Linked DNA regions of Mus musculus. The protein of the gene in region 1 interacts with the protein of each later gene in a pairwise test. Links are inferred from orthologs where the notes say so. Each region holds a gene or a part of one and is shown in the gene's direction. Other genes may lie near its edges.

What was found.
Region 2: the proteins of Ctbp1 (region 1) and Nol4l interact in binary tests that used the Homo sapiens proteins (3 or more experiments, as listed by UniProt). The link is inferred for Mus musculus from reciprocal best matches to the Homo sapiens genes CTBP1 and NOL4L.

Annotation. Positions count from the first base shown.
Region 1 is NC_000071.6:33,264,890-33,268,541, reverse strand, and holds part of Ctbp1 (C-terminal-binding protein 1), read left to right. Parts: intron 1-1,504; coding exon 1,505-1,659; intron 1,660-3,652. UniProt on the Homo sapiens protein: Corepressor targeting diverse transcription regulators such as GLIS2 or BCL6. Has dehydrogenase activity. Involved in controlling the equilibrium between tubular and stacked structures in the Golgi complex.
Region 2 is NC_000068.7:153,481,320-153,484,971, reverse strand, and holds part of Nol4l (nucleolar protein 4-like), read left to right. Parts: intron 1-1,129; coding exon 1,130-1,285; intron 1,286-3,652.

The DNA of each region.
Region 1 (3,652 bases):
GAGAATGATTGGATTGTTGCATTTGTCCACCTCTGTTGCCTGGTGATAGCGATGTGGTCCTTAGAGATCAAGGAAGGGGGGGATGCAAATGCTGAGCCTGTGACCTTGCACATCCCATCTTGAGGGTTGGGTCCATCTTCTCTCAGCACCTTTATTTTTACTGTTTATGAAGGCATGGATGGGTATAGCTGTGTCTTCTCAGGCACGTTGACTCTGGGGAAGGGCTCTGTGCAGCAACACCTCTGTCCCACAGCTGGAGATCTTGGGCTTAGTGTTGTCTAGAAGGTAGCTCCATTATCCTCTGCGTGGTCAGTGAGACCTGTGTCACAGCCCAGGTACCCACTTTCAGGCCTGGGAGCCTTAGAGCCTTGCTGTAAAATGGGTGTGGCAATCCCTAGAGCATTGTCTTTCTGTGACATGGATTCTCTGAGGCACTTCTTGGCACTGGAAGTTTGGGCTAGCCTCTGTACCTGCAGGCAAGAAAGGTGAGTGTGGACTGCACAGGCTGCTGCTAGCCAGCAGCTATTGCAGGGCTCCCTCTGGCCTGCTCAGTGCAAGACTGTGTGGTGACTTGTTTCTTGTCCTCCACTCCCCACTGTGCCTTGGTCCATTCTTTTGGTTAGCTTTTGGAAGGGATGGGCAAAGCCCTGCCTCATACTACGTGCTACCATGAACCTACCTTTAGCCTTCTTAAGGTATCTGCTGCCCAGCTGAAGGTGGCCAGACAGTACCTGGGAAATCCTTGTTCCTGTATTTGGCCCCAAGTGGGGTCTAGTTTAGTGTGTCATGTTGGGAACAAATTGATTTTTTTATCCACAAAGGCTTTGGTGGAGCTAAGAATCAGACCCAGGGCCTCACACCCACTAGGCAAGTGCTTTTCTCCTGAGTGGCACTCCAGGTCTAAGGTTCTTTCTTACTTTGATCCGGGAGGTGGGTTCTTAGAGTGTCATTACCCCTACCCTCACCCCCCCCCCCTTTTTTTTCTTTACTATTGCACTGATTTTTGGCCTTTGAAATCTACCACTAGGAATGATAACAGTTAAGGTCACATGCTAAACATCACTCTGTGGTCGCTGTGGGGTTCTGGGCAGACAAGACACATGGTGGTTTTAGGCATCAAAGAGCAAGCAGGTACTTCCCATCATTTTGTGATCTGCACATACCTGTGTTGCTAAGATAGCTTATGGCTGTAGGGAGCCAGGCTGAGGTGCTTCCTACCTCCCCGTCCTCCTGTCTACCACAACCTCCCTAGGGTCTACAAGGATTTCAGCTCCTATGCTCTTGAGGGATTGATGGTCTGAATCTACTCAGTCATCAGTAAGCTATAGCCAACTCTATTTTCTTCTTTGCAGTTTTAATTTGCTTTTTACAAAGCCTCATGTAACCAGATGCTGAGTGCAGCAAATTCTCAGGGCTGACCTCTCCAACTCGAGTGGGTAGTACAGTTCTCTGGTCACAGACTGGTGCTGCTGAGGACATTAAGTGGTCTGCTCCTCTCTTGCAGGCGTCCGACCTCCCATCATGAACGGGCCCATGCACCCCCGGCCCCTGGTGGCGCTGCTGGATGGCCGGGACTGCACAGTGGAGATGCCTATCCTGAAGGATGTGGCCACAGTAGCCTTCTGTGATGCACAGTCCACACAGGAGATCCATGAGAAGGTAGTGTCATATGTCCCTATTAATAGTTGGCCAAGCTTTATGGGGGAGTAGGGAACTCCAGAGCATGGGCCATGCAGCCTCACGCTGTCGTCTGAGTCAGCACACAACAGTAGTCATGTTCCTCAGCCTCTGGCCACAGTGGGTCTAAATACCACCTGGTCTTGTGTGGCCTGTCACTCTGCCTGGCCTGGACAGGATGTGTAGAGATGGGCTTACTCTGTATTTTCTTGACTTGCATCACAGCCAGTTCATTGGAAATACAACTGTGGGCACCTGGCAGTGATTATGCTGGATGCTACCTGGCATATAGAAAAAAGGGCATGCTATCCTCACCCACAATGCCTGTCTAGAGCTTGTGGTTGGTGGTTAGCAGCTCTGAGCAGTTTCTGTGATTCATGTTTGTTCAAATATATTGGGTTCCTCTGTTACCTGGAGTGTGTTCATATGATTTCTGCTTGTATCAAAATTAATTCAGACTTTGCACTGAAGACAGCTTAAAAACGTTCTTTAAAACAAATCTAAAGAGCTTCAGGAGTTGACAGGGTAGAACCAGTCGGGGGTTGAAACCTCAAGGCACCTGGCACCTGCTCTTATGGATGGTCTGAATGGTTAGCCTAGAGATTTGCTTCACTGGGAAGAATGGTGAGCTTGTTCTTGGTGGCACTATGGCCTCAAAGGGTGGGTCTTTTGACCCATTGCAGATGTTGCCTCAGACCCAGAGGGCAATGAAACCCATATCTGAACTTAACCTTCACATAGCCTACTACTCAGTCTTCTAAGTCTGCCAGGCATGGGATTTAGCATGTAGTGAACCTACAGCCCTGCTCCCCAGTAGCTGCAGAGTCACTGGGACAATCATTCCAGCCTGAGCCCAGTGTGTGTCTGTAGTCCTTGGGTACTTGTCACTTCTGTTTAATCAGTTACAAGGAGGTAAGGCTCTGTGAGTAGAATAGAGCTTCTGACTCATGGGAGACTCAGGCTGACTGTGGGATGGGCTGCCATCAGCCAAGAAAGAAACTGAGATTGTCATGTTGAAGGTCATGTGGTAGGTGTGAAGTAGCAAAGTTGAAACACAGGGCTTCAAGACATGAAAACTGGAAGGGAAAATTCCCACTGAGGGCATAGTAGTAAGCAAGCAGGAAGAGATCAGAAGTCTTGATTCTTAGGCTCTGTGGAGAAGAGTGGGGAATGGGAGGAGAGGAGGAGCAAGGAGTAGGCAGGCTAATGGAACTCAGAGAGGAGGGCTAGGTGCAAAAACAGAACACAGTGGTAGAAGAGTCCCCCAGACAGTAGGAAATGGTGTTAAGTAAGGACCTTGACCCTGTGGCATGGCATGGACAGTAATCAGGGGTACTCTATACTGTTCTACATCCTTACAGCATGCCAGCTGCCATACTTGGGTCCTTTGTCCTAGCAGACATGACCTGCATTCTCACAATCATACCTGAAGGTATGGCAGCTTGACTCACAGTAGCCCAAATTGGACAACCACTCAGTGCCCTTTGGTGATATGCTGGGCAAATTGGATCCTGCCACAGATCCTGGGCCAGGCAAAGCATGACCCACAGGTACACAGCACTCACTGACAGAAATCACCTTCCCTCTTCCCTCTGGCTAGAAATTGGGTGGGATGACTGAAGCCTGGTTAGAAACCTTGTACTACAAGAAAGCCATATACAGGGAACGGCACAGCCAGAAGACAGGAGTCTGGTACCCAAATAATTATGAAAATGCAATAGGGCATGTGGGATACCTATCTCTAGGTGTGGAAAGGAAATAACTGTCTTATATATCCTTGTTATATGGTAATTTCCACCTTTTTAGAGCAAAAAGTCCTTGCAACTGGCTGAGTGTTGCAATGGCTGTCTACAATGCAGATGAACATCTTACACTGTAAGTGAAGAACATAATGAAGAAAACTTTGCAGAGACTTTGTGTGGACCCAGGAGGTCTATGGATGTGGGAAAGTCACCTGTGGCGGGAATCTCAGAAC
Region 2 (3,652 bases), on another chromosome or scaffold:
CATGCACCATCACACCCATTCCCAACATGTCTCAATGACATGCTAACCTACTACCTGCCCAGCAGCAGTTGTTTGTCAATCACCTAGCATGTGCCAGGTGTGAAGTCCACACCTCCCTGGGGCTGTTGTCCTTGTCCTGCATCCGCTGGGGAAGGATTATCTTGGGAGTTGTGCTTTGGGCATGGGTGCCCATACTATTTGTTCTCTGAAGCTCCCTAAAGTCTTCCCAGTCTGCCCATGAGGTATGATAGGGGAGAACTGGTGTCCCCAGATCTCTGTGGACCAGGAAACACTTTCATGGAGCACTACTGGCCCCACCTACAACTCATGCCCTGGAGTCTCCCTTTGGCCTCTTTCCTCACCAGGGTTGGGAATGGGGCACTGGTGCCTTCCACAGCTCTTTGCTGCAAAGAACTCAGCCTCCATCTTGGCACACCTTGTTGAGCCAGCTGACAGTCTAATAAGAGGCTTGGGGCCCATGACCACCAGGCTTCCAGCCCTGCCACATCTCCATGCCCTCCAGCCTGTTTTTCTGTGCTTCTCCCCATACAAAGAGCCTGGGCACTGTGGCTGGCATTCAGCTGCTGGGATAGGGAAGGACAGTGATGAAAAGCTTCTTAGAAAGGCCTGGGCAAAGGCAGGAGCCACCTAGGTGATGGTAGCCGGTCTCCTGGGACCCCAACCAGGACCACAGTGAAAGGTTACTGCTAATTGGCAAGCTCCTGATGGGGCCGCATCTATTTAGCACTCCCCCTCCCCAGAGACTTCTAGGATGGTCTTGGCACAGCATGTGATTCGAGAGCTCTCTGGGAGTCTGGCACAATCTGTCTGAATTGTGAACATGGAACCTCTTGGTTTCCTAATTTGTTCTTGTGTTGTCGTGTTTCTCTGCCCATTGTTGCTGGTAGGTTTTGTAGCCTCCTCAGCCACACTGACTTTTGTACCCTCTCCCCAGATCCAGTGGGTTTCCTCTCCTCCCCACCTCCTAACTGGAACTGTTAGAGGCTGTGCTGGGCCAGGGGAGCAGCAAAGACCCTGCCCCCCTCCCCGACCTGTGGCCTGGCCTCTGGGCCCAGCTCTCACCCTCCATCAACCCTGACACTAACACAGCTTGTCCACCCTGTCACAGGGGGCAGATGGCCTGTCGGAGCCCGAGGGCATCTCTCTGAAACGCGTTGCTGTGGTGGAAGATTTCTTTGACATCATCTACTCGATGCACGTGGAGAGCTCTGCAGAGCCAGGCAAAGCCCCCAAGCACGCTGGGCAGAAGAAAACCTACCGAGCGGTGAGATTTCTGTCTCTGCCTCTGCTGGCAGCCCCAGGCTTTGGCAGGAGGCCATGGGCTCCGCACATGTTGGGCGGGAGGCGGGGCTGGGAGCTGAGGCGTGATGAAGCGGCCTTTGGGGATCCAGGGGGGCATGGGGCAAGGGCAAGGCAGCCAGAGATGGCTCTCAGGGTGAGGGGCGGGTTCTGCGGTCAGAGCACAAAGAAGAAGCAGGTTGAAGGGAGGGAGGGAGGGAGAGAAAAGGAGATGGGCAGGACAGAGAGGAAGCCCTCCTCTCCCCAGTTTCAGCCCCTTGTAGCCTGCTGGGGGAGCACAGATAATAAGAATCGCAGGGGCCAGTGCCTCCACAGCATGGCACAGAGCGCTTGCCAGCCTGCCCTAGATGCTTGCTGTGTGAGCTTAGCCAGGTTACCACAGCACTGTAAGCTAGCCCTGTGAGTTCGCCAGAGGCTCTGGGTCTGAGGACCTGCTTCATACCTTCAGAAGGTCACAGCTGGATTTGGGGTGAAGAGGCTAAAGGCAAAAAGATATGTACAAAAGGAGAAATGCCTCCAAGACCAGCTTTGATAGAACAAGGACACTGGAGGACTCAGTGAAGATGTGCTAGCTCTGGACACTGAAGGCTGGGTTCCATGGAAAGGGAGAGTCTATACTGGCCACCTTTAGGAGGGCAGAAAGGAGTGGAACAACTACTAGAGAAATAGTCCACATCAGTGAAGTGGAGAGCAGGGCTATGGACAGCAGCAGCCCTAACTTCAGGAGGAGCCTGCTACGCAGAGGCTTCTGTCCCATTGGCTCTACATGTAAGTCTGCACCCATGGCCCGAGCACAGCTCTGAGCCCACAAGCCAGACATTTTATTCTCAGCTGAGCACCAGAGGCCATCTTGTGACTAAGGCACAATGGGCCATTTCCTACTTAAAGAAACAGACCCAGAACCTCAAGTCACCTGTACAGGGTCACGCCTAAGTAGCAGGCAGCTTGTATCCTTGTGTAGACAGCCTTGGGCTGTAGTGGAGGTGGCCTGTATGTATAGGTATTATTTCCCCATGTGTCCCAATTCACAAAATCCCAAATTCCAGAAACCTTTGTCCTCAGTTGACGGTCTTTGTCCTGGATGGGTATTTGGCTCCTTGCTCTTCATGTGTCTGTGTACCATATGAGTGCTGTACCCATGGAGGCCGGAAGACAACACTGGGTCCCCTGGGCCTGGAGTCACAGACAGCTGTAAGTTGCCATGGGATTGCTTTTGGAAGGGCAGCCAGTGCCCTCAGTCACTGAGCTGCCTCTCTTTAGGATCTGCCTCTCCCTCTGCCGGGAGCCTCCGAGCAGTGAGGAAAGAGGCTGAGGGGCACAGCATGGCCACCCTGTCTTCCCATTCCTCCTGCTAGTCAGTGTATGTGCCTGTGAGGAAGGAAGCCAGGCTGAGGGTCTTTCTAAGTGAGGCTACAAAAGGGAGAACCATCCGTCTGGGACTAGGGTCTCCTTGGGATTGAGAAGACTGCATTTGCTTATCGCTGAACCTGCCGTGGTGCTGAACTTCCATGTGTGCCCGGCTCTACCATTAGCCCTTTCCAATTTCACCTCCTAAGTCTGAGCCATGTAAAAGCTACAGCCATAAAGCAGGGACATATGAGCCCCACTTTAAGGTGAGAACCACAGCTGTCTAAAGTCGCTCAGCTGGAGTTCAGAGCCAGGTAGCTGACCAGCACCCATCCTTCCTTGCTACAGGTCTCCTGAGGCAAACTGCCAAGCCAGCCACTGGCTGTTGTCAGGCATGTAGGCTTGGCCGTCTGAATCTGGTTACTTCCCTGGCTCCTCTGTGCCAAGCAGCAAGCCTTGTCCACAGGTACTCCTCAATGGGGTCTGTGGCCTTTAGGAACTAGAGGCTGAAGCTGAGTGGGGCTGGTTTTGACAGCTCTTGTGCTCCTGGACCAAGCAGACAGCTAGGCCTTTGCACTTTCTGGATTCTGGTGCATATGCTGCCATGTGCCCCATTGCCCTGCCCAGCCTGGAGCTGGCACATGACTGGCATGGAGCGGGCTGGGCTGCATACACAGCTGGAATTTCAGCACAGGGCCAAGGCTGAGCTCAGCAGGCTAGGGCCCTCCTGCAGCAATTGGAGGACAAGGAGCTGGTGTTTCCACTTTCCCTCCATACCTCCTCACCCATCCCTCTCTCCCATCTGCCACCTTTCCTGGCTACTGTCTTCCTGTTTCTGGGGCAGAGATGGTAGCTGGATGCTGTGTGCTCCCCGTTTCATCTGCTTTCACTTCCCTCTGCCCTGCCTAGCTCCTCAGCCTTGCTCGGTAGACATGAGCCCCCCTTTAGAAAAAGCCCCTAAGCAAACCCTGTGCATGGCTGTAGA